2 linked regions of the Arabidopsis thaliana genome follow. The protein of the gene in region 2 interacts with the protein of the main gene of each other region in a biochemical or structural test. Each region holds a gene or a part of one and is shown on either strand. Other genes may lie near its edges.

What was found.
Region 1: the proteins of AT5G25440 (region 2) and ZAR1 form a complex in vitro, tested with the Arabidopsis thaliana proteins (one study listed by BioGRID).

The regions. Positions count from the first base shown.
Region 1 is NC_003074.8:18,929,381-18,945,684, reverse strand, and holds ZAR1 (HOPZ-ACTIVATED RESISTANCE 1), read right to left. Parts: upstream 10,012-16,304; 5' UTR 9,798-10,011; exon of another isoform or gene 9,570-9,797; 5' UTR 9,559-9,569; coding exon 7,000-9,558; 3' UTR 6,886-6,999; downstream 1-6,885. Other genes in the region: AT3G51000 (alpha/beta-Hydrolases superfamily protein), read left to right, coding at 1-85, 169-427; AT3G50990 (Peroxidase superfamily protein), read right to left, coding at 1,080-1,498, 1,740-1,905, 1,986-2,177, 2,273-2,530; XERO1 (dehydrin xero 1), read right to left, coding at 2,964-3,167, 3,469-3,651; LTI30 (dehydrin family protein), read right to left, coding at 4,279-4,860; PLP3a (thioredoxin domain PLP3A-like protein), read left to right, coding at 5,459-5,542, 5,679-5,753, 5,828-5,875, 5,961-6,103, 6,190-6,262, 6,354-6,415, 6,502-6,599, 6,685-6,794; AT3G50940 (P-loop containing nucleoside triphosphate hydrolases superfamily protein), read right to left, coding at 10,157-10,525, 10,613-11,599; BCS1 (cytochrome BC1 synthesi), read right to left, coding at 14,138-15,868.
Region 2 is NC_003076.8:8,850,467-8,865,813, forward strand, and holds AT5G25440 (Protein kinase superfamily protein), read right to left. Parts: upstream 6,344-15,347; 5' UTR 6,257-6,343; coding exon 6,199-6,256; intron 6,108-6,198; coding exon 5,854-6,107; intron 5,729-5,853; coding exon 5,593-5,728; intron 5,238-5,592; coding exon 5,095-5,237; intron 5,013-5,094; coding exon 4,886-5,012; intron 4,790-4,885; coding exon 4,509-4,789; 3' UTR 4,249-4,508; downstream 1-4,248. Other genes in the region: AT5G25430 (HCO3- transporter family), read left to right, coding at 785-894, 977-1,059, 1,153-1,345, 1,435-1,573, 1,643-1,808, 1,883-2,049, 2,132-2,305, 2,401-2,496 and 5 more; AT5G25450 (Cytochrome bd ubiquinol oxidase, 14kDa subunit), read left to right, coding at 6,570-6,663, 6,745-6,902, 7,183-7,230, 7,315-7,383; DGR2 (transmembrane protein, putative (Protein of unknown function, DUF642)), read left to right, coding at 12,964-13,048, 13,808-14,305, 14,402-14,928. UniProt on the Arabidopsis thaliana protein: Together with BKN2/SZE2 and ZED1, required for effector-triggered immunity (e.g. Pseudomonas syringae effector type III HopZ1a) via the activation of ZAR1, thus being essential for resistance against P.syringae pv. tomato DC3000 expressing HopZ1a.

The sequences.
Region 1 (16,304 bases), on a different chromosome or scaffold from region 2:
CAGAAGAAGAGATTCAAGTGTATGCGGAAAAGTTTCAAAGATCTGGATTCACTGGCCCTTTGAATTACTACAGATCCATGGATATGTAAGTTGTTCACTTCCCTCTCTCACTTTATCTCCAGTCTTTGTTGTTACAAAAACAAGTATTGAAAATGTGCAATGTGACAGGAATTGGGAGATATTGGCGCCGTGGCAAGACTCCAAAATCGTCGTTCCTACTAAGTTTATAGCGGGAGACAAAGATATCGGATATGAAGGACCTAATGGAACAATGGAGTATGTGAAAGGAGAGGTGTTCAAGATTGTTGTGCCTAATCTTGAGATAGTTGTTATTGAAGGTGGTCATCATTTTATCCAGCAGGAGAAGTCTGAACAAGTCTCTCAAGAGATTCTCTCTTTCTTAAACAAGTTAAGCAAAACAGAGTAAAATCATACCGTTCTCTGTGGCCTTATAGAAGAACCATGATGCTCTAGTCTTAATTAAACTACTAATAATGTGTATTCAAGAACGAAACCCGAGTGTGATCTCGGCAATAATAATGGTTCTTAAAGTAAAGAAAGGTCTAAAGCTTTTTTATGTGCTTCTTTGAACAAAAGCCAAGAGTGTAAAGTTTACTCCAGAACACAACTTGTAAAAGTGCGACAAATTTGTTCATGTGTCTCACTTCCACTTTGAAATTTTCTAACAACAAAACAAAACTCCTTTACAACATCACTCCTTATGTTTCTAGGGCCTCTTAAAAACATTCCGATACTTCTAGTTTAGATGTTTAAGTTACATCCATAATTTCGAGAAAGATATTTCACCTAATGGAGTTGTCACGTCAAAATTTGTATTGTTGAGTATAGGCACATCACATTCCAAATTCATTAGCAATTTCAGTTGCCATAAAAATCGTTATGTTTTTGACGTTTTGGTATACCATACAATCACCAAACTCATAAATTAATTAGAACAAATAAAAATAAATTAAACACAATGGCAACAGAAATCAAATTTAACAAAAAAAAAAAAAGATTAACGTTAAGTCGTTAACCAAACGCTTAGGACTTTTAACTATCCAATAATGGAAACTCTCTCAAACATCATGGTTAACCCTCCGGCATATCCTCCGGATCTCACCATCCGTCCCCGTCAACGGTGAGATGTTCCCCATCTTCACCATCGACTTCGCAAACTGCTCAAAGAACGCTCCCTCATTCTCCGCGTAATACTTGACCATCTCCATAGTCTCTATGCTTTGCGTGAACAATATCTCATCAGAACTCAAGAGTCCTCTAAAGTTCACAAGATTCTTGTAGTAGTAATTGTCAAACTTAGTCGGCGTCACATAGTCAAGATTAAAGAGGTTCTGGTCGTTGCCCGAAATCGGACATCCCTGCTGCAACATAGAGGCGTAGTCTTGATTCAAAGTCTGGTCGGGATCGTTGTTTCCAGTATGGTTGTATAACCTTTGTCGGAAACCAATACACCTTGAGTTTCCTATCGTGTGACTCCCTACATTTGAATCATGGTTATTAGTTCAATTTAGAAATGATAATTAAATTTATCAATGTGTTAGTTTTTAGGGCATTTAATCTTTAATAGAGAGATAAGATAACTTTTCTTATCCAATCACAAACATCGTTATTAACATTTATTTATACTTTTAATTAGTTTCTTCCATAAAATCACAATTGCTTTAAGACCCCTTTAAATTCAACCACATTAATATCTTGGACGAGTGTAGTATATATACCTAAGAGGGCAACAAGATCGGTGAGATCAAGTCCTTGAAAGTTGAACATAGTGAGAATTGTTTGTAACGTGGACTCGGGAGAAGGAATGTTTTCCATGGAACCAATCAAGCTTGCTTCTCTTGCATCTCTTCTTCCAAGATATACTTCCCAACTAGGTCCACCACACTGTAGATAATTACAAAAGTAACGAGTGTTTGTATCAATTATATATCAATCCTAATGATTGTGTTAGAGAATTGACTTACAATAACAATAGAGTCTCTAGCAACGAGAGCCAATAGATCGGCGCAAGAAACTGTTTCAGGACATTCATTTTCCAAGGCAGACTTGATCTCGTCAATGACTTCGAACCCTCGAGCAGAGTCTCGATTTGCATTTGATCGTTTCTCGCTTTCCATGGTTCCACTACTGTCCAATAGTACGGAAGCATCACATCCCTGCACCAACCAGAGTATATATATATCAAACAACATTTCTCCTTATTTAAATCAAAACATTATATATCTGAAGAATAGACTAGATTTTGTCAAACATTGACGAAACAGTCGTGGAAATGGAGCCTAAGAATTGAGGCAGCCATGCGAGGGTCATTGAAGTATGCATTGGCGACGTAAGATTGAACGATGGCTTGTGCGTTTGGGCACGAGTTCTCGTAAAACTGAGGGGATAGAGAGGCTACAGAGCTCGTGCTTTGATGTGTTTGATAACAAATACATAGAGGAAACAGCGCAACAAGTGAGATTTGAGAGAGAACAATGCCCGCCATTGACTTCACCGTTTTTGTATTCATTTGGACTCTCAGCGATTATTGTGGGAATGACGATGAATGCATGGTTGGATAATTTATAGAGGAAGGCGTCACCAAGTATGATTTGTCACGTCAACGTGGCTTTTAATTTGTTGGATGGGGGGATACATTAATTGTGAGTGTTGGTTTGGATATAAGATTCGTTACATCTATATATAGTTACCGATTTTCACTCCTTCTTTTGTCTTCCTTTGTGTTGGGAATAGAAAACGTCAAAATCCCTTTGTTATTTTAAATGGGAAGATGTCGATTAGAATCGTGAACCCACCCGTGTGCTAACATTACCTTAATTTGTATCACTCAAAACAATAGAGCCTGAGCCATAAATGTTACGAAAAAGAGAGGGTTTATAATTTATTCCATGCAACGACCATAAGCGTAACGACCCACACCAAACAAGTTAATTAAAATGAAACTAATGATGACCACCCGGAAGCTTCTCTTTGATCTTCTCCATCATGCCTTTCTTCTCGTGGTGAACGGTGCCGGTATCATAGGCCGTCGTTGTAGAACCTAAAGAAGAAGTCTTGTTGGAGTCGTGATGACCCGGCAGCTTCTCTTTAATCTTCTCCGTTATTCCCTTCTTCTTCCTCCTCCTTCCACCTAGTCCATCATCCTCCTTCATGCATGAAAATCGTCAGAAAAATTAAAAAGCTATATGTATTTGCAACACTTTCCATATTTTATTTAGTAATTTTAAATATATGGTATACCTTGAATATAATTCAAATTACAAACAAAAACTTATCATTTGAACACAAAAAATGGTTTATAAAAAATATGTAGAGTTAAATCTAAAATATGGTTTCCTGATTTTTTCTAGTTAGGTGAAGTCAAATTAAATGAAACTTCTTGTATTTGGTGATATAGAAAGAGTACACTAAATATTGCAAAAGCAATTGCGTAAAACAGAAGCATACCGAGCTAGAGCTAGAGCTACTCCCAGAACGGTGAAGCATGCCACTTAAACCACCACCTTCAGCCACGGCTGGAGCTCCACCGGCAGTTCCATAGGCTCCGGTGGTGGCTGGAAATGGATTTCCAAATTGGTCAAGCTGTTGGTGAGTCTGCTGCGCTCCGGACTGGTTTTGGTAAGACTCCATATTCCTTTTACAATTGAACCTTTTTTTAGCTATAGACAAAATTAAGACACTGATGGATAAAGATGTATACGCTCTTGAATGGTATTTTTATAGAACCGCAACTTTGGATAGGGATCATAATCACATATAGTATTATGATTATTATCAAATTGCGTTGAAGTGACACACGTGGCGATTACGTAAGACGTTGGTTTTGTGGTTAGTGTGACACATGTCCGTTATAATCGACACACCTCTTTTAACTCGATATCCGTAAAAACAACTTATTTGGGCCGTATGGGCCTGAATTGAAAACCTGAGTAATATACATTGCCAAACAACTGCGGTCGTTTCCCTGATAACTTGTATGCAAAAGAACATATAAACTTGTAAAGAATTGAATTACCAAATAATTACATGTGAATTATACGTGGTTGTATGTGTCACAACTCACAAGTATTTTAATAACATGGAATAGTTGAAGCGATAGAAAGATAAATAAACGAAACCAGAAGTAGATATTTTATATTAATTCAAAGATCCATCACTTACATATATTATTTAGCGACTCAATGAAAGAAAGCCACATCATCATATTATTACACCACACAAATACTTAAAATAAGCTTAAACAAGTTGTTAATCAATCTAGTGATGACCACCGGGAAGCTTCTCTTTAATCTTATCCATCGTACTTTTATTTTCATGGTGAACAACGCCAGTATTACCATAACTTGTGGTGGTTCCAGTTTTGTGAGTTCCATGATGACCTGGCAGTTGCTCTTTAATCTTTTCTGCTATACCTTTTTTCTCATGGTGAACGACATTAGTGTTAGTACCATAAGCCGTGTTAGTCCCAGTTTGATGTGACCCATGATGACCTGGTAGTTTCTCCATAACTTTTTCGGTCACACTTTTTTTCTCGTGGTGAACACCACCAGTGTTAGTAGTACCATAAGTTGTGTTGGTTCCAGTTTGGTGTGATCCATGATGACCTGGCAGCTGCTCCATAACTTTTTCCGTCATTCCTTTCTTCTCGTGGTGAACACCACCGGTACCAGTAGCACCATGATGACCTGGCAGCTGCTCCATAACTTTCTCCGTCATCCCTTTCTTCTCGTGGTGAACAACACCAGTGTTAGTAGGTCCATGATGACCTGGTAGCTTCTCCATGATTTTCTCCGTTATTCCCTTCTTTTGCACTCCGGTTTGATTCTGGTGAGAATTCATTTTTCTTCTTTGAATCGAAAATATACTTCTTTAACTCTTTTCTTTCTTAGGTATATATAGATGAAATATTCAAGACTTTGATCGATGAAGATTAATGATCTCTTGAATGATACTTTTATAGAGATGCAAATTTCATTTTGGATAGGAATTCATCATCACATAGATATTTTACTCAATACGTGTTGGCCGACATCGTAAAAGTAATATATTCAATTCGTAATTGATTAAGAGTCACACACACATGGCAAGTAAGACGTCGGTGTAGTAGTGGTTAGCGACCGACGTAATTTTAACTTATATGGGCCTGTGGGCCTTTAGATATGAAAGGCCCAATAATGCATATCTTTTACTAAACTAAAAAACGATGTCGTTTGGTATGTTTCTTCCACCTTTGTTGTTCATCTTTTGATTTTTTGAAATTGTTAGTAAAGAAAGGAAAAAAGCTTTGATTTCGATTTCTCAAGCTGTGTTTTTTTATTTTTCTTCTTCGCATCAGGAAGGAATTGAAAAAGGTATGATTTTGAAGCTTTAGCTCTCATTTATCTCTGAATCCTAATGCTTTTTTCATGCTGTTGTTTCAGATTTTTGGTGTTAAAAGATGGATCCAGATGCAGTCAAATCGACTCTCTCGAATCTAGCATTTGGAAATGTAATGGCGGCTGCTGCAAGAAATTATCAAAAGGTAAAGAATGTTTCTCAATTTGTTTTTGAAATAGTGATAGACTTTATGAGTTTTTTTGATGTTTCTTTGTCTGAGTAGATTACCTGTGAGGACTTACTTGTATGGTTTTGATGAGTTCTTTATATGGGTTTTGTAGGAAGTTCTTGCAAATGAGAAGGCGCAAGGATCAAATCCTGTTAATGAAGAGGTTGATCTTGATGAACTTATGGATGTAAGTGCAATGTTGCTTGTTGTGACTGTTAAGCGTAGGTCTCTATGGTAGACTTATTTGTCTATGTTCTGTAGGATCCAGAGCTAGAAAGATTGCACGCAGATAGGATTGCAGCACTAAAGGTTATAACTTTGGCATTGTATTGTGGCCTATATAGTTATGCAGCTTTTGGTATGAACTAAAATCTTCAAGATTTTATCTTGACAGAGAGAGGTTGAGAAGAGAGAATCGTTTAAAAGACAAGGGCATGGTGAATATCGAGAGGTGAGTGAAGGAGATTTCTTGGGTGAAGTCACCAGGAGTGAGAAAGTGATATGTCATTTCTACCATAAGGAATTTTACCGGTGCAAGTAAGATCTCTCATCAGCTTATTTTTTGTTCGTCTTCTGATATGTATATGAGCTCATAACCAAACATATTTACTGCATTACTGTAGGATTATGGACAAGCATCTGAAAACTCTTGCACCTAGACATGTGGACACAAAGTTCATTAAAGTGGACGCAGAGGTTAGTGAACCATTTGATGAAAGTTTTATAAGAGGAAATGGCTTTTCAACAATCCTTTGCTGAAGCTAATGCTTGGCTGAAATAAATGCAGAATGCTCCTTTCTTTGTCACGAAGCTTGCAATAAAGACTTTGCCTTGCGTTGTGCTTTTCAGGTTTCGCCTCTTTCTATTCCTTCTTACATACAGGGTTTGTTGTTAGGTGTATACTCATAAAGTACGAGTTTCTTTACCATTCTTAGCAAGGGAGTTGCGATGGATAGGCTAGTTGGGTTCCAGGATCTGGGAACCAAGGACGATTTCACAACGAATAAACTAGAGAACGTTCTTCTTAAAAAGGGTATGAAGAACCTCGGTCCCACCTTTTTTTTATTATAACGGCCCAGTTAGAGAATTTTTGCTTAAAGAGTGCAAATCTTTAACAGGAATGCTCAGCAAGAAGAAGAAAGAGGAAGATGATGAAGACGCCGAATATCAAGAGAGCATACGGAGGTCTGTTAGGTCTTCAGAGAATCTGGACTCTGATTCTGACTGATCAAGCAGTTGACATCAAAGATCTGCCATTGCTGCTAGTCTCTGTTTTCCCTTTTTGCTCGTTTGTTATATGATTATTAGAAAAGAAAATTGCGATATGAAATCCAAACGGTCAAAGCAACATTACATTGTATCAAGGTATATGTAATACACCAACTTATTGTCACTGTTTAATAAACATTGATCTAGTTGCTTAAAACGTTTCATCAGGTTCTGTGCAATGGTGTTTTCATCCACACTCCGCCTCTAAAGCCAACATCTTCAATCGCGAAAGACTCTAGCTCTGGACACCAGTTTGCGGTCACGGTCCTCAGGTACGGCATTGACTGTTGCAGCACTTCCCAGTCCATGTCTAGGTCCGACAATGAACTTAACATTAAACCTTCAATTCTCCAGTGAGTATTCTCGTTTCCCCAGAATGGTTCCTGCATTTTCACCAAATTACCTGAACATATTGACATGTACCTCAACATCGGAAGCTTGTGAGGACTCAACCACGATGGACTCGACTTTCCAGGATAGAATTGTAGAGAAAGCTCATGGAGCTGGTGTGGAGGAGTAAGGGCGTCTATTTTGGTTATGAGATCATCGCCGTAGCTATCATAGCAGTTGATCGAAATGGACATCAGCTTGCTTAGGTTTATCAAAGAATCAAGCTCCTCCTCTTCTATCTGATCGCCACGAGTCAGAGAAAGACCAAGTTTCCGAAGGTTTGTGAGATTTTTCACTTCACTGAGCTTGCACCCATTGTTGGACCTGGCTGGCTTAAATCCCAACAGAACTTCGAGCTTCACGAGACTTCCGATACCCTTGGGGAAGCATTCAAGGGATCCACAGTTCGTCATGTCAAGTACAAGGAGTTTCTTGAACAAGACGATGCAAGGTTGAAGTTGTTTCAGATTCTGACAGTAGCTTGCGTCTAGAATCTGAAGGTTGTGGAGATCTTCCATGGAACGAGGAAACTGGATCAACGGATGTGTGTTGCTCAAACTAAGACATGCTAAGTGTTGAAGGCTTGCAATCTCATCCAAAATCTCAGACAGAGGAGCATCAAATATGGATTTCGAGATATCGAGAACCCGAAGATATTTGCAGTCTGTGAATTTCTTAGCTAAGTCTGAGTTGAGCTTGTTCACTTCACCTGTCTTAGTTGTTGACACTACGCCTCTCAGCTTATGGTTAACTTTGATCTGCTTCTCATCAAAGTTTCCACTAATCCCAAGGTGACGACAGTTGAGGCCTTCCGGGTTAGAGAACGAATCCTTCTTGGCTATATCGATCACCAAATCACGAACCATGTCATGAATCTTGCAAGTGATGATGGTTCCGCTATAGGTTTTGTCTACAACTTCTATTAGACACCTGTTTGTGAGCCCGGAAAAGCAGTCTTCTCCAGATTCAGTTGCAGATCTTCCGTTTCTCCACATGACAAAACCTTCTCCGATCCATCCATGTACTAGTTGTTGTTTTGGTATAACACAGTCTTCTGGATAGAGCGAAAGCGTGAGAATGCACGACTTAAGGTGGGAAGGGAGTTCATCGTAGCTCAACTGCAGAGAAGACATAACATTGTCAGTTTCAGAAGTGTTTCCTCTTAGCTCATCCTGAAAATGCTCTGCAATTCGTCTCCATTCATGATAGACATGGTCTTTGCACAGAAGTAACCCACCAACCGCTTTGATTGTCAAAGGCAAACCTTTGCATTTCGTTACAATCTCCTTGCCAACATCCTCTAGCTCGGGACGCTCACAAGTACCGTCATTTGCTGCAAATGCCACATTACAAAACAGCAGCCAACTGTTATCAGGACTAAGGAGCTCTGGACGGTGAGTCTTGTCGTCTCTCGCTTGCACCCTTTTCGCTACAGATTCCGACCTTGTGGTCACGATAACGCTACCTCCTTGTCCTCTAGGCAGTCCTTGGTAGATCTTGTCCCACCAGCTCAAATTCTTGTCCCATACATCGTCCATAACTATCAAGTACCTTTTCCCCAAAAGATACTGCTGGATTTTTCTCAGCAATGTTCCAATATCATCTCCAACACTCGCGTCCCCCAAGTTCCTCAATATGCTTCTCATGATCTGTTCTTCAGTAAAAGTCTGGGACACAGACACCCATATCCTTCTTTCGAAACGATGTTCGATCTCTTTGTCATTGAACACTTCTTGAGCGATTGTAGTTTTACCTAGCCCTCCCATCCCAACAAAGGCCATTATCAAAAGCTGGCTGTCGTTTGATCGAAAGAGCCACTCCTTGATTTTTCTTTTATCTCCTTCCAAACCAACCACCTGAGTATGATCATACACCGGAGAGCTCCACCGATCAGTTCCATTATCTCTTCCAACATTACTCGGCGTTATGAATTCGAAATAAGGCTCTACTTGACTCTTTATTTTCGTTATCCTCTCATTGATCTCTTGCAAACGTTTGCTTTTCTTGTACTGCAACGGAACCCGGGCAGGATGAAGCCGCGAAAGCCACGCATTTGATGACCTTTGCTCGTTCCCATCATCACCATCCGCGAGCTGACAATCCACAAGTATATCCTCAGCTTCGTAAACCAGTTCTCGTAAATCCGCAACAAGAGTACGCAACGTTTCATTAGTTCTCTTCTGCCTCTCTGCATCCTTGAGAAAAGACTGCATATATTTCAATTCGCTTTGCAAATCTTCCAACTGTTTTCGGTAGTCCGATACGGTTCGGCCTTTTTCTTCGAGGATGTTCAAGGTTTTCTCTAAAAACACTGTTACAACAGCGTCCACCATTTACTCAGACCCTGCAACTTCAAGAAATATCTCTAATTGGTAAACTATAACCAAGCAATAATTCAATCGGTTATGTGTATCATCACTAGATTGAACTTTCCAAAAATCAATCAACCAACGACTATAGAATCTCAATAACCAAAAGATTGGATTATTCTTTAACTAATCCATATCTTCTCAAGAAACATGTAGAATCCTAGAACATTGAAACAAATCTAACCAAAGTAAAGTAAACTTACAAGGTTGTGACTTAGCCTTAGCCGAGAAGGATCTGAAGCTTCAGATCTTTGGATTTTTTTAGCAAAACTTGTTTCAGAAAAATGAGCTTACATAGAGACTTTATCGAAATTGAAGTCAATGGTTTAACAAGTCAAGAGTCAACCTTACTCGTTTTCTTGGTTACTGCTGCCGACTACGAAACTTGTCTCAATCTACTTTAGAATCTTATCATTGAGTTTAGACATGTTCTGACCTCATAAAACAATATCCGCATTTCACTTAGGAAAAAAAAAAATGATTTCACTTTCTGTAACATTTTATAACCAATAATTGCATGATAGTGTTTAACAAAGAAACAAATAAAAGAACTAAATTTCTTCTAAGCTTTTGAATTATCTATTTGCTTCTTGGCTTTTAAGAACTCAACAAGTCCTTGGAGTACTTTATCCACAGAGTCACTCCTCATCAGTTGTTCAGCTACTTCTGCTGGTGTAACTTCAATTTCTCGGATAAATTCTTCAATCTGCTCGAAAAGTATATGATCTTGAATCTCGAGATAATTCGAAGCCAAAACCTTAAAAGCAGCTGGTGTGCAATACGACATGTGAATGTGCATGTCCATACGTCCTGGCCTCAACAATGCTGGATCCAATTTTTCTCTGTAGTTAGTCGTAAACACTATAATCCGCTCGTTACCACAACTTGACCATAGTCCGTCTACAAAATTCAATAGACCAGAGAGTGTGACCTGAAAATGACTAACCAAAACATTAGTAATGCTAATAAGCAAAAGATCACATAACAACATAACTGATAGTGAATCAAAATGCATCACCGTTTTATGTAACGGATCGTTGTTTTCTTGATCAGTAGACCGATCTTTTAACTCGATTGAACAATCTATATCTTCCACAACTAGAATGGAACGATTTGCAGTAGACATAAGTAACCTCCGTAGCTCAGCATTGTTGTTAAGTGATGTCAAGTCTAAGTCATAGATATCGAAGTTAAGATGATTAGCTATAGCTGCGATCAAGCTTGATTTTCCAGTACCGGGAGGACCATACAACAAATAACCTCTCTTCCAAGCTTTTCCAACTCTCCCGTAAAAGCCTTTCCGCTGCACGAATCGATCAAGATCCTCCACCAAGTTTTTCTTCACCTCGGGATCCAGAGCGAGAGTGCGAAACGTGGAAGGATGATCTAGAGTCACAGAGGTCCACTCCACGGAGTAAGAATCAACGGTGAAGATCTTCAATGTTTTAAACTTTTGTTTAATAGAAGCAGCTTGTTCCACAACAAACGGTAAATAAGATTCAAGAACCATGTTCTTGAACTTCTTTCGGAAACTAAGCTCGTAACTACGCACTTCTGATTTCAAAGTGGAGTTGAGATCTCTCGGGTTACGAAAATCCTTTTTATCGACATGGCGACATACAAGGATCCAACTAAGCTTGACGCCATCAAAAATATCAACAACTTCCTCATCACGTTCAACAGTAACACTATAATTGCTCTGTTTCTCAAGTTTGTTAACTTTGATTCTTCTAGTGGAATTAGATATCTTGGTGGAGAGATAAGCCTCTGCAGCTTCAAACACTTGGTTGTGTTCAAAACCTCCAAATTCTTCTATTACAGCTGTCATCTGATAAGAGAAGTAGCTGAAGAATCTGCGAAAGCCGTGAGAGATATATTCATGAACCTCGTTTGGCATGTAATCTTGAACCACTGATCGAGCTAGTATTGCGGCTGCAGCAACTGATGCAACCGCTGTGAGAGCTGTTTTGGCGGTGGCTAGATGAGATTCACTAGAGGAACTCATCTCCTTCAATCATCAAAAATAAAATAAATACATTCAAGTCGGTTCTCATAAATCAAAGAGACAAGAAACTAATCCAAAAAAAAATCTGATTATAGAACAATAGTACTGTATTTGTTACTAGGTTACGTGGGGATAAATCTGATTAGGTTAAACAAACGATGCTATTCTTTTGATAATTTTACGATGAGCACACAAATTGGAATCTTAACAAGTAAAAAAAAAAAAATGTTAAGGTTAAGGAGAAAATTTGATACCAGTTCTTCTCTTTTATTTGATGAAAGGCTTCTGCGATCAATAATAAATTTTCACGAATACCTCTGATCATAAGATTGAGATAATTAGGGAATGAAAGATTACTATTTAAATGGTGATGGAACACTAAATGAATGGTCTATAGTGGGCCAAGATTACGGCCCATTTGATAAAGTATCGTTAAAAATGAAAACTTGATAGCCCCTACAGACTTCTAGAGTCTGGTCGCTGGCTCGCTGCAAAAATGCAAAGTCTTTGCTCCTTAACATATATGCTGACTTGTCTTTTATACTTGAAAATTGTAATAGTAGTTTTAATGTTAGAATGACATGTTAGCAAAATATTTACTTTCTTGAAAAGTAATTTTTTCTTTGTTGAAAATAATTTGGATTATATTTCGATTTATGCGTGTCTTATGCGGACTATACTAATCTTTTATGTATCGTTCCAATTTTAATAGATGTTCTTCGAGACAACATTTTGGAAAATATTTCTAAGAAGATTGTTTTATTTTTGATGATTCTTTACAAAATATCTAATAATTGGGTTTTTTCAAGTTCATATATGTTTCTGCATCCTTTGTTTGATTTTTTTCTTTGTTGATTTAACTATGCTTGTGTTTAAATTACTATAGTGCTTACCCAATAGTAATTCAAATATCTCTCATTTGACTTAATGATATTAACTAATATAGAATCTAAAAAATAAAACATTATGAAACAAAATCTAGAAAATATTTTTTTATGAACCGGAGGAACTAATGTAAGATATTAGACTAATACCAAGGTTTAGTTATAATAATTTTCAAAGTATAATTATGCTATATAAAAAAATTATGGTAGAAAAAATCTCGTTCGATAAAACAAAACTAAAGAGAAAAACATGCAAAACGATATTTCTTCTAAGCTAGCGTCTTGAAGGTAGAAGGATGGTTAAGAGTAACAGAGGTCCATGGGTCTGATGAGTACCAGTAATCTGTGTCGAGAGTGAAGAGCTTGGGCGTTTTCTTCTCTTTTATTCACCTTTTTTTGCATTAACCAATAAAAATATGTTATAAATCCTATTTAAATTACATAATAAATTAAAGCTATAATTATAATCCAAACCGATATAAAATCTCGTTTAATTACAAAATCTAAACTCTAATTTTCCTTTATAAATCCAAACCGCTATTTAAACTCATTTAATCGTAAGAAAACTAAACTTTAATCGTATTTTCTAAACCCAAACCGACATTTAACCTCGTTTAATTGTAAAATCTAAATCTGTTTATAAAACTAAACCAATATTTAACCCATTTAATCAGAAAATCTAAACTCTAATCGTACTTTCTAAACCCAAACTGATATTTAACCTCGTTTAATCATAAAATCTAAACCCTAATTTTTTCTAATAAACCCAAACCGATACATAATTTTGTTTTAGTGGCAAATTAGATTTTATAATTAACTTTCTATTATTGTTATTAGGTGTCCGATTTTAATTAGGTAAAATAAAAGAAGTTAATATAAAGTTCATTCAAATATTTTTCTTTATTTATTTGTAAAGCATCTAGGACTGACGAAAAAAAAAAAGCATCTAGGATTAGGAGTCAAAGACAAAAATAAATATAAACACGAAAAAGGAAATAACTCGAAAAGGAAATGACATTTAAAAGCCCAATTTTAAGGAAAAATAGAAATTGAGGAAAAGGAAGAAGATCAATTATACATCTACAAAGAAAGGAAGAAAATTAAAACATGTACGGCCCATTTAATAATAGTATTGACTAAACGAATTGTGTAGTGGTGCCAAAATTTTGGCCCACTTAATTAGTGTCAATTCCTTTTCTCGATACAAGGAAGGAATCATTGAGATTTTCTTTTTTGTCGGAATCATTGAGATTTTCAATTTCACAAATGTGGCTTGAAGATATTATTTTATCGGTGAGATAAAAAAAAATCAACTGTCATAAATTAAGATTCGGAAAGTTAAAATTTAACCTTTTTTTTTTTGTCGGCAAACTTTTTTTTTAGTAGCTTAAAACAAATTGTGCTAAAAAAAGTTAGAAAAAAAACAGAGAGAAAAAACAAGCTAAACGCATAGTTTTGTATAAATACACGTGCTCTTCTCTTTACAGCTACCACTCGGATGCAGAGGTGTTTTATCTGATCTCCTCAATTTTTTCCCTTTTTTGGTCTCAATCTCTCTAAGATTATTTTATCTTAGGACTAGGTTTATAAATGAATCTGTAGATTATAGACAGTAACTGGCGATTTAATGATTTAGGTATTGATATCTCACAAGTTAATGTTGTTCAACCTCCTCATGTTTGGCTTTATCTTGGTCGTCCTCGATCTTCTTGGCTTTTAACAACTCGACCAAACCCTCAAGAACCTTATCAACACGGTCATTCCTCACTAGCTGTTCATCAACCTCTTTCTTGACTACGGAATCTGTTCCCTCCTTGGTCTTTTTCTTGTTCTCCAACTCTTGCTTCTCTGTTTTGGCCTTATCTTGTTCGTTTTCGATCTTCTTGACTTTCAAGAACTCAATCAAACCCTCAAGAACCTTGTCTACAGAGTCATTTCTCATAAGCTGTTCAGCTACTTCTGCTGGAGTGACCTCTGTCGCCTCAATACCTTCCTCGATCTTGCTGAAAAGGCGGTGCTCTTTGATCTCAAGATAGTTCAAAGCAAGAGCTTTGAAAGTACTTGGTGTGCAATACGACATGTGGATGTGCATATCCATACGTCCTGGTCTCAGCAAGGCCGCGTCGAGTTTCTCTTTGTAATTGGTTGTGAAGATTATGATCCTTTCGTCACCGCAGCTTGACCATAGACCATCTATGAAATTCAACAGTCCAGAGAGTGTCACTTTTTTATACCGTGGATCTTCTATATCGTCAGATTCCCGAGGAGGTTCATCGCTAGTCCTATCTTTCAATTCTAGTGAACAATCGATATCTTCTACGATAAGAATCGAACGATTAGCAGTGGCAATCAATAATCGCCGGAGCTCAGAATTGTTGTTAACCGCGGTCAACTCTAGGTCGTATATATCAAAGTTGAGATGATTGGCCATGGCTGCGATCAAGCTTGACTTCCCTGTGCCTGGTGGACCGTACAGCAAGTAACCTCTCTTCCAAGCTTTACCAACCCTTTTATAGAAGTCTCTTCGCTTTACGAATTTGTCTAGATCTTCCATCACACTTGTCTTGACATCTGAATCCATTGCTAGAGTTTTGAAGGTAGAAGGATGGTCAAGAGTAACAGAGGTCCACGCGTCAGAGTAGTTCCCATACATGTTTTCTGGGGAGAGAGTGAAGATCTTGAGTGTTTTCTTCTCTTGCTTCATCAACGTGGCTCTTTTCACCATGAATGGCAAGTAAGATTCAAGAGCTACGTCTTTGAATTTCTTGTGGAAGTTGAGTTCGAATGATCGGACCTCAGATCTCAGTGTGGAGTTTAGATCCCGTGGGTTGTGGAAGTGCTTGGACTCGACATGACGACAATGGAGGATCCACTGGAATTTGACGCCATTGTAGGTGTCAACAACTTCTTCGTCACGCTCCACGGTGACATTGTAGTTGTTTTCTTTCTCATGTTTACTCACTTTGATTCTTTTGTTAGAAGGAGAGATCTTGGTGGCTAGATAGGCCTCTGCAGCTTCAAAGACTTCATTGTGAGCAAAACCTTCAAATTCTTCGATGATTATCGTCATTTGGGATGAGAAGTAACCAAAGATGGAACGGAATCCATAGGAAATGTAGTGATGCACCTCGTCAGGCAAATAATCTTGGACTAAAGATCGAGCTAGCATTGCGGTCGCAGCCACCGAAGCCGCGGTGGTGAGAACCGTCTTAGCCGTGGCTAGACGGGATTCGGCGGAAGAAGAGTCAGAGGAGCTCATCTTGTTTTGGGTGTATTTGTGTTTTTTGAGTTTTGTTAAACCCAAAATCTCATAATTTATATATAATTGGTGGGAGGTGGGAACCGGAGACTTATGGACGCAAGGAAGTAGCTTGGATCCTTCCATCGCTACAACGTGGAAGTTGCTAACTAATATATAGAATAACAAAAAGAAAGAAGAAGAATAGAAAAGTAGAGTTTAAGTGGGCTCCAATGACTTGTTCATGAGGTTTATTTGACTAATCGAAAAGAATATTAGTAAAGAAAGACTGACTTAACGTGTGGGTCACGCTTCTTGTAATTTAAAGTCATTTCCTTTCAATAAATCCAAGAACAGTTAATATTTGTATGTATATATACATCACAATTGTATACTACTATCAAATCAATTCCACCAGATTCTTAAAACGTCCTTGTCTATATGATATTTCAGCTGTTGTGTGCTTGCGTCAAGATAGAGAGGACATTCATATATCCATCTCTCTCTTTTGTATCATTGGACAATAATGCAAAAATGCTAAACCCTAAAATAGTGTCATTGAATAGCTAGAGTTGGTATAGGC
Region 2 (15,347 bases):
ATATAAATGGTACCTAATATATACAAGTAAATTGTCATTTCCTTTAATAGATTATGTCAATGGACATTCAAAAGTCTTACATTTTCTAGAGGCAGAACTCACACAAAATTAAATTTATCCTTTCCCAACGACCGTCGAAGCTAGCACCGATTTACCGCTGGATAAACCCACGTCAGTGGATGAAAACGTTTTAGTTCACAAATTCAAAAGTATTTGAGTGAACATTTTGACAGAGAACGCCAATTAAGAATACACTAATATACGTAGTATTAATTTAGAAAATCTAATTACGTTTTATCAACCAAATAAAGGTCAAACTATTTATCATCCAAACTAACTAAACATGCTAACGTGTCATAGAGGTTAATTAGTTTTTAACTTTTTATAACACCATTATTGTTGAAACTGTTAGAAGTTAGAATCATAGGTGGAAAAATTTACGCGGTTAACTATAAATCATGTTTTTATTTTTACCATTTACCCTTAACAGCAACCAAAAACAAATTTTGCTATTAATTTCCAGCCAATGAGATTATGCCATCTCAGCAATACAAGTCTTTCCCACCATTCTTCTTTTCTCAAAGTTTCTCTGTCTTGTCTTTTTTTGAATCTCCTTTGATGTCTTCCCTCTCTGTCTAACATATTCCTCGATTCTTGAGCTTTCCAGGTATGTCGAAGTCGAATCATCAATATATGTTTAGAAGCTTATTCTAATGGTCTGCTGTTATAGGTTATAATTGTGAATGCGTGCGTAACACGCTAGGTGCTCTCGTTTGATGCAGAAATGAAGAGTGAAGGAGAAAGTGGTCCATTTCAGGGAATTCTTCGAGATATCGAAGGTAGACGAAAATGTTACAAACAAGATTGGATTCGTGGCATAAAAACCGGTATTAGGTAAGGTTAATTATATTTCAATCTTTCTTGAAATTTATATTGATGCCAAACATTGAATTACTTGATTTCAATGTTTCACTAGAATTTTGGCTCCGACTTGCTATATTTTCTTTGCGTCGTCTCTTCCTGTAGTTGCCTTTGGTGAACAATTAAGTAAACATACAGGTATATATATAAATATTTCTTTTCCATGTTGCTTTTTTATGAATCGCCTAAAGAATTAACTTTGATGATTTTTACTTAACTTGTTGTTGAAAGGTGGAGCTCTAAGTGCAGTGGAAACATTAGCTTCTACTTCGATATGCGGAATCATCCATGCGATTTTCGGTGGACAACCATTGTTGATAGTTGGAGTTGCAGAGCCAACCATCATTATGTATACTTATCTTTACAGTTTCTGCATTAGTAGACCGGATATCGGTCGAGAACTTTACCTAGCTTGGGTTGCATGGTAATGATCACAACAAATCAATAATCTTGTTAGTGTACGTGCATGTAATCTGCTTTCTAAGAGTTTGTTGTTATATGTTGTTTCTATAGGGTTTGTGTATGGACTTCAGTTTTGCTTATCCTTCTTTCGATATTTAACGCGGGCACAATCATCACGAGGTTTACGAGAATCGCTGGGGAACTTTTTGGCATGTTGATTGCTGTTCTGTTTTTACAAGAAGCTATAAAGGTATAACCAACTTCATTTTCTAGGTTACTTAGTCAACAAGTAACATACTTAGTTATAATACGTTTTCAGGGATTGATCAGTGAGTTTCACGCCCCCGAGATTAAAAATCAAGAAACAGGGAAATCTCATTTCCTCTTGATTTATGCAAATGGTTTGCTTGCGGTAATTTTCTCGCTAGGCCTTCTAATCACCGCGCTAAAGAGTAGGAGAGCAAAATCTTGGAAATATGGTTTTGGTACGTCATTGTCTATTTACATTAGTTCATGAAAAGTGTACATTGATATTCACTTAGACCACTTATAACTATAGGGTGGCTTCGAAGTTTCATTGGAGATTACGGTGTTCCTTTAATGGTCTTGTTATGGACGGCATTGTCTTACACAGTTCCTAGTGAAGTCCTTCCAAGTGTTCCCCGGAGACTGTTTTGTCCTCTTCCATGGGAGCCAGCTTCATTGTATCATTGGACTGTAGTCAAGGTAAGATTAAAGATATGCAAAACATGATTGAGTGATCAATACAAATGCAAAACTTATAGAATACAAAACTTATTATATACAGGACATGGGGAAGGTACCGATAATGTATATCTTAGCTGCGTTTATACCTGGTGTGATGATAGCAGGACTTTACTTCTTCGACCATAGTGTAGCTTCACAAATGGCACAACAGAAAGAGTTTAATCTAAAGAATCCTTCTGCTTATCACTATGACATCTTCTTGCTTGGAATTATTGTTAGTTCTTAAATGTTCTTAAAACTTATTTCAAAGATACTTATTTCATGGCATAAATACCAATTAAATCTTGTTGTTATGGTGGTGATCTATAGACTTTGATATGTGGACTACTTGGACTTCCACCTTCAAATGGTGTTCTTCCTCAGGCTCCAATGCACACAAAGAGTCTTGCGGTTCTCAATCGTCAAGTAAGAACAAATACATATATATATATGAGAAGAAGAAGGAGAGTTGAAACAGAGATGATGATATATTTTTTGCAGCTTATACGCAAGAAAATGGTGAAGAAAGCAAAGGAGTGTATGAAAATGAAAGCAAGCAAATCAGAAATATATGGGAGAATGCAATCAGTGTTTATAGAGATGGAGACATCCCCACCTCAGGTTAGTAATAATGCCTTCTCCTATATTTATAGAAAGAAATTGTTTGAAATTAAAGAAAAAAAAGAACCTTAAATTTTTTGCAGGATAATTCTGTAGCAACAGATTTAAAAGAGTTGAAAGAAGTTGTGATGAGACCAGACGAAGGAGGCGATACAAAAGGAAAATTCGATCCCGATGTTCATATAGAGGCTAATTTACCGGTTAGAGTAAACGAGCAAAGAGTGAGCAATCTTTTGCAATCAGTTCTTGTTGGTTTAACACTTCTTGCAGTGACAGTCATTAAAATGATCCCAAGTTCAGTACTTTGGGGTTACTTTGCTTATATGGCGATAGACAGTCTCCCGGGAAACCAATTTTGGGAGAGATTGTTGCTTCTCTTTATTCCTCCTAGCCGGCTTTTCAAGTTAGTTAATATATATCTTTTCTTTAGTCTATTTTTAGAAAGGTCTGCCTTTCTCAATCACTGGTTTCATCTAAATGCAGAGTCTTGGAAGGAGTGCATGCTTCATTTGTGGAGTTGGTACCATACAGAGTGATTGTAACATTCACACTTTTCCAGTTGGTTTATTTTCTCTTGTGCTATGGTATGACATGGATTCCTATGGCCGGGATATTTTTCCCCGCACTCTTCTTTCTACTTATAAGTATAAGAGAACACTTGCTTCCCAAGTTATTCGATATGCAACACCTTCAAGTGTTAGATGCTTCTGACTATGAAGAAATAGTAGCAGCACCTATCCAACACTCAAGTTTCGCATATAGGGTAAACCTTTGGTCTCTTAATGAGTTTAAACTGATTCAGGGGCTTTTTGTGTACACGTGTGTGATACCTTTAAACCATTTTGTGAGCAGAAACTAGGGTCTTCTCATCATTTATCAGAAGGTGAAGATGAATTCTACGACGCGGAGATATTGGATGAGATGACTACAAGCAGAGGTGAAATAAGGATCCGAACCATAAGTTTTAAAGAGGTAATAAAAACAAATTATATCTATTCTACACAATCCAAGCATTGATATGAAAAAATGCATATAAACAAGAATCTTGTTTCAGGTGCACCCGGAGCCTGAAGAGAAGCATGTAACCTTTGAACCACATTAAAAAGAATCTTTTGCAATTGTTTTTGTACACAACTGTATTTGTGCATAGGCATACATTGACTATGTTATAACTTTCCTTATAGTGGAACTTTGTTTCAGCAATTAAATATGAGATTATTCAGCATTCAAATTATCCAGTACTTGCTGCATTATGGCCATTTATTCGGGTGACGGTGAAAGCATTATTTATAAGCTTATATATATGTCTTCCGCTTCATGAGGATAGCTAATAGCTATTCTCTAAATCCGGATCGATCACCTCTGCCATGAATACCTTGTCACCTCGTATTGCTTGCTTTGCAAGAAAAATGCGCCAAATTTCAAGACCAGTTAATAGCTAGCAAGAATAACAATGGTACACCAGTCAAAGTTATTTTAGAGGAGATAAAAGATTTTCACAACGCTTTTTGCTTTACACGTCATCTCTCGGTTATTCTTCTGACACATAGCGTGGCTCCAAAGTAATCATATTTTCAACGTATTGCAGAGAGAGAGGTCGAAGAAGATAATGATCATTGTATAGTGTAAAGGTTCAAAGTTGATTAGCATATAGCTCTGTTCTTGAGTGATGGATAAGAATGGAGAATTAGGTCTTGTTTCTTAATACTTCTCGTCATATACGAGTTATTGTATACAAATGCATACATTGACTATGTTATAACTGTCTTATAGTGAAACAATGTTTTCAGCATTAGTAACCCTTATATAGTTTCTCCTCAAATCTGAGCTATAGCATTCAGATTATCTAGCACTTCTTGCATGGTTGGTCGCATCTTCGGGTCTACCTCTAGGCATTGTTTAATAAGCTCGCACATAAGTCTTCCCGCTTCAAGTGGATAGCTATTCTTCAAATCTGGATCGATCATCTCCACAATGTTGTACTTTTTATTTTTTATTTCTCGCTTTGCTGAGATTGTGAGGTCTTTTCCTAAACCAGTTAACATTTTAAGTAGTATAACACCAAAGCTATACACATCGCCCGCCATGTTCGACATCCCTTCATTTGATTAGTGCAATCAATTAAGGTTAGTCTCTTTGAATTTAATGGTCACTTTTAACTTTAAGATATAAGGAAGAAGCAGAAGATTGTTGCCTGAGAGTATGTATTCGGGAGGTGGGTATTGATATCTAGGTGCTACATTTGAAAACCCGATGGTGTATACCAATTCATCGAGAGAAACTTTTGGCTTTCCAAAATAGGAAACTCTTGCGTTGAAGTCCTGCATATCCCATAAATGTCACTTTAAAGGTAAGGAGCAAGTATTCAAGAAAAAAAACAAAAAAGGCAAGGTGAATACAAACCGAGTCGAGCAGGATTTTCGAAGCAGTGAGATATCTGCGGTATAGACCGGCTTGCTTCCTAGAGTGCAAGAAGGCAAGACACTGAGCCGCTCCTATGGATATCTTAAGTCGTGTCTCCCACGGCAATGACTTTGGACGACTATCTATGATATTATATAAACCATTAAATCCAAAAGGAAGATGAATTACTATTGGATCTAAGGTTAAGATCGTAAACTCGTGAGAGCTCCAGAAATCAATTTGAGCAACTCTCTTTATTCCCTCTCTATGATATTAAATTATCTAGGAATCATTTAGCTTGGTGTTCTTCAATTAGTATATTTTCCTCACTTCCACTAAATAAAGCTCTAATGAGCTATCTCAATTTTTAGATCTAGTTTTAAAGCTCTTATTAAGAGCTCTTACCTTTGGGTCTTGCTCGAGCAAGATTCTTCTTGCTTTGAGTCTACTCACAAGATATAATGACGAAAAGGAGATGAATAAACTTAACTTCCTTACCTCTACTGATGTAACTTCCTAAGCTTCCATTTGGAAAGTATTCAGAAACAATAAACAACATATCACGATCATAACAGTAGCCAATTAGCTTCACCAAGCTTGGATGAGAGTTATGTCGTAGAAACTCTACGTCAACCTACAAAAATATCATCTCTAATGTTAAGACACACTGACCCATCTCTAGGGGTAGGCAACATAGACATTTACCATCCAAAAACATCAAAAAATTTAGAAGAATAAATAAGTAACAAGAAACTTAACAATATTATTGGTTTTGCCGAAGGTTCTCCTATAGATTGAGATGATATAATTACTTACAAGCCAATCTTGAAAAGCTTGTTCATTGGCTAAGTAAATTTTCTTGACCGCGACGGCCATGCCAACACCTTTCTTGGCCGGAGATAACGTTTTGGGATTGATGTATCCCAAGCTCTCTCCTAGTTCCATCTGGTTTCCGAAATCATTAGTCGCTTTCTTCAGATCTGCCACCGTGAAGACTTTCACACCCTCCTCCACTATACATATATTATAACAAAACTTATATCCATTATAGTAACATTCAAATCAAAAGTACTTAAATCCGCAGAGAAATATATATATGTATACCTGATTTGGGAGCATTTGGTTCGGTGGGAAGTGTCGAAGCTGAGAGACAATTTCCCATTCGGATACTCTCTGCTAAATCTTAACACTAGAGTTCAATGAAGAAGAGAGGACTTTTAGTTTTTCACACCGAGGAGCAAAGTCAACGAAAACGCGTTTGAGAGTCAACGGTTGACGCGTTTTATTTGGTGAGTCATACGACGCCGTTTTTTGATAAGAGTACATACTACGCCGTTTGGCTAGAGTTTCATACGACGGCGTTTAAACAGATGTCTCTGGATGCTTCTTCCTTCTTCGTTCCCGGGTTAAATTACAAATAGCGGCGAAGGGGTTTCATCACAATTCACATCTTCAACGTTACTCCGAAGAAGATAATGGCGTCGTTTCTCCAGAGACTAGTAGATCCCAGGAAGAATTTCTTAGCTCGTATGCATATGAAGTCTGTTTCTAATCGCCTCCGCAGATACGGTACTCTTTCTTTCTCTCTTACCCTAGAAACCAAACCCTAATTCTCTTCTGGCTGATTTTGGGAATTTTACGATTTTTTAGGTCTTAGATACGACGATCTTTATGATCCTTTGTATGATTTGGATATTAAAGAAGCTCTTAATCGTTTACCGAGAGAGATTGTTGATGCTCGGAACCAGCGTCTTATGCGTGCAATGGATCTTTCTATGAAACATGAATACCTCCCAGATAATCTTCAGGTATGTTTTAGTCTCTAAGTAAGTGACAACAGAGCTAAAACGGTATATAGCTATGGAGTTTGTAGATAGAGCTTGCAAGATTTGACTTAAGACTTGTATTAGGATCAAGAACACTCTGTTTTCAGAAACCTGTTTTGGTTCTGTAATATAATTGTAACTTGATAAGCTTTGTAAGATCTTGTCTATGAAAGAAGTTTTTTTTGAGATAGTGCTTGTTAGTTGTGAGATAGGAAGCTTATGTAAATCTTTTTTTCTTTTCCTTGTCTCTGTAATTCCACAGGCAGTGCAGACTCCATTCAGGAGCTACCTCCAAGACATGTTGGCTCTTGTAAGAACAAAAACAGTTTTATCTATCTTGTAGTGATAGAAGAATCATATAGCAAAGTTCTAACACACGACACTTCATGTGCAGGTGAAGCGGGAGAGAGCTGAGAGAGAGGCTTTGGGAGCTTTACCTCTCTACCAAAGAACCATTCCTTAAGCATGTTAGTCTCTCTTGTGCTTATAGTAGGGTCACTGTTTTAGTACTCTTTAGGCTTCAATACCGCACAATTTGCTTTTGTATGGTTATGCATGGATATGTGAACCTTATGTATAAGATTTTATGAGATTGAATTGGATGTGTAATGTAAGCTTGATTGAGCTATTACAGAAATATGAGTAAAATATCCCACACCGGTAGGAGGAGAGTAAATCATGCTACATAAAGACATAAAGGCACACAAACCCTTAAGCTAGCTTTTGGAAATGTTTTCACAGTTCCTCATAGGAGCTCTGAAGAGAGGCGTGTAACCTCTGAACCACAATCCTTTATAACCCTTAGTTTGTCCTCTCAAATATGGGCTATAGCATTCAAATTATCTAGCACTTGTTGCATGGATGGTCTTTCCTTGGGATCTCTTTCAAGGCAGTTTTATGAGCTTGCACATACGCATCCCCTCTTCAACACGATAGCTATTCTCTAAATCTGGATCGATCATTTCCACAATGTTTTCTTTTCTATTCTCTGTTGCTTCCTCTGCTAAGATGATGCACGGGTTTCCCAAACCAGTTAAGATCTCAAATAGTATAACACCGAAGCTGTATACATCGCCCGCCATGTGTGATCTCCCTGTATATGCGTATTACCGTGCAATCAGTTTTAGGTTAGTGTATGAATTTTAATGGTCATTCTGTAGCTTGAGAGAGGACTTACCTGAGAATATGTATTCAGGAGGTTCGTAGTAAATTCTAAGAAATGCGCTCAATACAATTTTCTAGCTTGCTTACTCCTATAAATGTAACGCTCTAAGCTTCCGTTTGGAAAGTATTCAGAAACAATGAACAACAATTATCATCCGAACCGTAACCAATGAGCTTGACCAAGCTTGGATGCAGGTTATGTCGTAGAAACTCTAGGTCAACCTACAAACCTCGGCTGCCGTGTTAAGCATACATATATGAGTGATCAGTCTCTCTCGTAGAGGTTAATTTCTTACAAATCACTTTTGCAAGGCTTCTTCATAGGTTAAGTAAAATCTCTTAACGGCGATGGCCATGCCAACACCTTCCTTAGATGGAGATAACGTCTTGGGATTGATGTGTCTCCTCACACAGATTCATATATACCTGGAATTGTTGCAAGTTGTTCGGTTAGAAAACAGTTTCCCATGCCTATAAGATCCGCTTTCTTGACAGTTAAACAGAGTTTGAGGAAGAAGATGATTCACCTTACTTATCTAGATCTACTCCACCGGGCTTCAAGGTTCTGGAGTAAGCCATTGAGTATATGGACGTCTCAAGTCAATGTGTTAAAATGTCAACGCGTTGGAAAATGTCAACAAGGGAACCACCAACTTTTGTAGTTTATAGTTATAGTTTTAAACCTATGACGTGGAGCACAATATTCAAGTTTGTAGTTTAAATTGATCTTGCAAGATTGAACATAAGACTTGTATAAGGATCAAGAATCGTCTGTGTTTAAAGAGCCCTTTTGTGAACAACCTTACATAATTAGCTTTTTCCCATAGCCAATTTTGAATTTTTTTTTTTGTCGTAGCCAATTTTGATTTAATATACACAAATATTCATATTCATATTCATATCTTTTTTTTTCGTAGGGTTCATATTCATATCTTGTGCTAATAATGATCAAAGAATAATAGTTTATATAATTTTATGAATTTGTAGTCTTGTAGCATGAACTTTTCTCTGTCTTGTAGTGTTAGGGGGCTTATTGCAAAGTTCTTACACGATACTTCATATGCAGGTGAAGCGGGAGAGGCTTCGGGAGCATTACCTTTCTACCAAAGAAACATTCCTTAAGCATGTTAGTCTCTTGTACTATATAACTAAAGCCCACTTAACCAAACATTCCTTATGGCTCTTTAGGCTCCAATCTACCACACAATTTTACCTTTTATGGTTATGTACGGTTCACTTAAACACTGAACTTATACATAAGATTGATGTGTAATGTAAACTTGATCATTAAGTTAGATGTTAATGTTTACACAATTCCTCAAAGATGCCACTTTTAAACATTTTTTACATGAATCATATATATACAACGATGCTTTGCACGGTCTAGTGAATAAGTGTCGAGGTAGATAAGAATGAGATAAGGTATTTAAAGTATTTAATAGAGTGGTGTCAGTAGAGAGAACGATATGGATTTGTATTTGAAGACATTTCCATGTGAGTCACATTAGCACAGGAGGGTCCTTTGCCTAAATTCATTAATGAATTACTTAACAGAAATAAAATGACAATGTTCAATTAAATGTGAGTAGACTTACTCCTATTCTTTTCTCTCACTTGCCAAATGCCAAATTGCCAATAATTATTTATTACTGATGATTATTAAAAAAAATATTTTTCTTTTTGCGGAGATTTATTAAATATTGCATGATTTTAAAAAATAGTTATAGCCTAGCTTCCAAAAAGCCAAATTTATGTAGCTAAATGTTAAAACAATAGTATATGGCCACACTTCCACCAATCAGTCTTACTATCATTTGTCTCTTATGCGGTTTTGAAAGGATTTTGGTGCTTCTAATTTCGAATTTAGAGGGACAAACTAAAATTACGCAATATTTGAAAAGTAAGAATTATTGCTATTAAAAAATCTTGATACGATTCAAAAAAAATTATATAAAAAATACGGTTTTTAATTATTTAAATTTTCAGCATCTTTACACAAAAAAGAAAAGAATTCATTCTCATGTTCAAAACTATCTATTTTGTTAACTTTGTTTTTGAATTATGCAATTTTAAATATATTTCCTAATAATACTAGGGATGTTTGATCTTAAAATAAAAACAATTTGGTCTTAGTCATCAAATTTTAATTTTTTTTGGGTTTTTTTTTGCCGTCTATATTTATTATTTATTGCAAATTATGAGAACTGTTTCATATACAATTCTACCCAGAACAATTTTTACGACTCTTATTAGATCTACGAGAGATGATATCTCCTTCTTCTTCTCCATGCTTTTGATAGACATATTCAATGATCCTCTTTACGTAGAATCTTGACGAACGGCTATAATTGTACATCGTTGGAGATCTCATGTACATTTACCTCCATTAATCTGCAAATTTGTTAATAAATCTTAGTATCTGGGACTCGAACCTCAAATTTTTTGGTATAAAAACATTAATAAACCTTTCGTCAATCAAAGGGATTTCCAAAATCACGCAATATCCCTACCTAAACTGGAAACTCCGACCCAAAATCAAACAAAAATTTGAATTCAACATCCCTACCTAATACTACGTATATTATATGAATACAACGTACCTCAAATAGTATTTTGTCTTTACCAATATAAATTATATAATTATAACGGACCTACTAATATATATACAAAAAAAGGTTATCGATATCTCTTCTCTGTACAAGAGATCGAGTCATGAGGAAATGGGCCCGTAAAAGAGTAAAAGAAATGTACAATGAAGAGGAGACAAAGCCATGATCCTGCCTTTTGCTTTGATCTCTTCTTTTTTGTATGGGTTCCACTACGTTCGTTACCCATGCCCCACCCACGTTTTCGACGGTTCCTCGTCTTTTTTTGGTTCTTCTCTCACTCTTATTATACACTTGTTTATCTTTTTTAGATTCAACATTTTAAATAGTGATTGTTGTTTGTTCGAACTTGGGTCTTATAAGTCCTAATCAACATTTAATTGGATCCATTAGAAACAGTTCTTTCATTGGAGCTACGTGTTACGTTTTTCTGATATATGATAAATATTACAAATAAGACTAGCCATTTTAGATTTTCAACCGTAAGTATGTGTAGAAATACACGGTTTTAAATTTATAATCAACAAGGTAGTAGAAAAGATAGATAGTCCACACTAGATATGAGTAAAATATATACATCAAGTCATATTATATAAGGTGGGAACTATTTGTGGTTTTATTATAATCGTTAGAACGATATCTCGAATTTATTTAGCTCAAAAACAAATATCACTAGAAAACTACTACATCAAAATCAATACCATTTCTTACAAAACAATATGGCATATTGATAGAAGAATGTACAAATCTTCGATGCCATAAACAGTCGCATCAGAACAGTTGCATGACCGTGACCATGCGAAGTAGTGTACATCCTCATCCTCACGTTCGAATGAACGTTCTCGTAAATCGTTCCTACAACACATATCCCTAAAGAGAGAGCAACACATCCTGTTTGTTTAATGATTCGGCCACTAAAATAAACGTGTAGTTAAGACCAAAAACGTAAAGCACACCTGATTAGAATATTGATCTCTAAGAGTAAAGAACGCATATATTGGTGGTTTTGGCGGAGCTAAATTCCAAAAACCGAACATAAGACAGGTAGTTAGAAATGATTTTAGAGTATTTGTTTTTAAAAATGAAATCCTTTAGAAAATGCAATTTCTTGGGACGATAAGAATGAGAAGAAGACACGATTCTGAATTTTTCTGAGGCCAACTTCATGGCCGACTTTGGAAACCGCATTCTTAGCCACTGAACGGCGCCCTTAATACCATAGACTATTCTCAATTTTGTTATTAAAAATACAGCCAAGAAACAAACCAAAAAAGAGCACGAAGAAGACAAAAGACTTAAAAAAAAGTTTCAAAAGGAAGAGATTTGTGGGTGTAACACATGCCACGATAAACGATTCTCCTAGTAATAGTATCTGTCCACCGATGATCTAAACGACCAATTTGGCATTTCCCAGTTACTATCATAATTAATCATATTTGTCACGTAGATTCAGATGTAAGATTACTAAAAAACATCTCAATTATTTTCACAATCTTAGACTTAAGTGTTTATAGCATGTGGATAAGGGATCATGATCATAAGTTTATAGTTATGTTTAGTGTTTTGTTTTTGGTAGTTTTAGTTTCAGGCGGTTTTGAAACACTTTTTCCGATCCGACCTATACTCATTTTATTTTTTTTGTTTTATTTACAATTTAATTTACAGATTAGACATTAACACATATTTTCAATTTCTCAAAATTATCCAAAATATTCATATCTTAAAGATGTGAAAATTTATCAGAATTAGTGAATTCGAAGTGTAATTTAGACGATTTAAACTATCCGAATCCGATCAAAACTATACGATTAAAACTATCCGAATCCGAGCCAAAACGGTATTTAGTAAATTTAATATTTTATTCCGTATATTTCTAGCAATATATTTAAATACTCCTGCCCATTACCTGTTTATACGCAATTACCTCTAATCATCTACAAACCTGTCCCAATTGGACACTTCTGGCTTCCCCAGTCACAGCCTAAACAGAGCTTGACTCAATAAACAGCAAATATAATTGCATCAAAACAATACTTTTTTTTTACAAATTTTTTATTCCGGAAGTAACCCCAAATGGTCAATAAGGTTCCAAATCTCTGAAAAGGAATGAGGTCACAACCCCACGTGGGATACCAACTAGCCACAGTGGCACACACTCGTAATATATAGAAACCTCCAAGGTCATTTTCATAGTTCTATCCCCTTATAAGCAATAGCCACAACTCTCTTTGCTAATTACATTTTACACTCATCTCGTTCTCTCTTCCGTCAATATGGAAGGCGTCACCGTCGTGTCTTTCTTCCTTCTTTTCATCGCCACCGCCATGGCCGCCAAGTCCACCGTCTCCTTCCGTGACGGTAACTCTATTTACACATATACATACACATACATTCATTACATATTCCGGTTTACTACATTAATAACAAAGTTCTGATTTATCACTTTCAAGTCTGAAAATTGGAATTGGGGTACTATACAATTCAAGTTTTTTTTTTCCTTCAAAGTATATTAACATACCTTTTTTTTTATGTTGATATATCTTGAAGAAAAAAAGCTTAAATTGTACCTCAAATCCAATTTTCAACCTTTGTGTACAGTAAATTATGGCAATTTTATTTTTTATTTTCACAAATTTAGTGGGAACAAAAACTCATTTCACTCAAAATTTTATATAGAAGCGAGAAATAAAATCTTATAATTATAATTGTGATATGAATAATCAATATAATGCTGGTACCTAAAAAAAAGTTTCTGAATGGTTATGAATCATAACTTTGTTGGTATCACTAGTACGAACCTGCCTCTGCTAGCGATAGTACTTAAAAACAAATAAAAATATTCGTTTTGTTACGCTTTAAAATTTAGATTTTTTAAGAAGACGATGTAATAAAAATTACAGCTTCCTTTGCCCATGTTTCTGACACAAACACAACACCATAAAGTTTTTGGACATTTCCAATCAATGAAGTTGAGAGTAGGTCCTTTAGTTCATGTTACATTTAGGACCAGTTTAGGCTGTCTTCGGACACACCTCACGTGCTCTATGTATATCTTTTTCTTTTAAAAAAATTCCAAAATTCCTAATATTCACAAGGACATTTTGATAATATCCACAGGCATGTTACCAAACGGAGACTTCGAGCTAGGACCAAAACCATCAGACATGAAAGGAACAGAAATACTAAACAAACTAGCAATACCAAACTGGGAAGTCACAGGATTCGTCGAATACATTAAATCAGGACATAAACAAGGAGACATGCTTCTCGTTGTTCCCGCCGGTAAATTCGCTGTAAGACTTGGGAACGAAGCATCGATCAAACAAAGACTTAAAGTGGTTAAAGGAATGTATTACTCACTCACTTTTAGTGCTGCTAGAACTTGTGCACAAGACGAGAGACTTAACATATCTGTAGCACCTGACTCCGGTGTGATTCCGATTCAGACGGTTTATAGTAGTAGTGGTTGGGATTTATATGCTTGGGCGTTTCAAGCTGAGAGTGATGTTGCTGAAGTTGTGATTCATAATCCTGGTGTTGAGGAAGATCCAGCTTGTGGTCCACTTATTGATGGTGTTGCTATGAGATCTCTTTACCCTCCTAGACCAACTAATAGTAAGTCATTACTATAAATACTCTGTTTCTTGCTCTGTTTTTATAATCCTTGAACATGTGAATAATGATGATTTTCTTTTATGTTTGATTTGGCAGAGAACATTTTGAAAAACGGAGGATTTGAAGAAGGTCCATTAGTATTACCCGGCTCGACAACTGGAGTTTTGATCCCACCGTTTATAGAAGACGACCACTCTCCTTTACCTGGATGGATGGTGGAGTCTCTCAAAGCTGTCAAGTACGTAGACGTTGAACATTTCTCAGTCCCACAGGGTCGCAGAGCTATTGAGCTTGTAGCGGGTAAAGAGAGTGCCATCGCTCAAGTGGTTCGGACTGTCATTGGGAAGACTTACGTGCTGTCTTTTGCGGTTGGAGACGCCAACAATGCTTGCAAAGGATCAATGGTGGTTGAGGCTTTTGCAGGAAAAGATACACTTAAGGTCCCTTACGAGTCGAAAGGCACAGGAGGGTTTAAACGAGCTTCTATTCGATTTGTGGCGGTTTCGACCCGATCAAGAATTATGTTCTACAGCACTTTCTATGCCATGAGGAGCGATGATTTCTCGTCATTGTGTGGGCCTGTGATCGATGATGTCAAGCTTATAAGCGTTCGTAAACCATAGATGAATCACCAATCCTATTACAAGAAAATGCATCGTGTGGTCTTCTTTTATTTTCCTTAAACTGTCTTTGGTGTGTGTTGGATTTTATTGAAACGAGAAGGTGAAAAAAACAGAGTTTTATTTACGAGAGTTAGGGTTTTATATAGGCAGATGGGCCTTTGCTTATATTGTATTTTCTTGTATGAGAAGGCAAAAGAAACGTTGCCTATATCTTATGTATCTAGGCCTTTTAATTTTTATGGAAGAGTTACAAAACTTACAATAAAGTTGTATGCATATTTTACTTCTCACGAGCATATAAGACTGAATCACAATCGAGCATTTCCAATGAAGTAACAGAAGCATAAGAAATTTAGCATTTAAGTTTTGTTAAAGCAACATAAGGGTCACATATAAACATTACAATAGTAAGTTTGGTA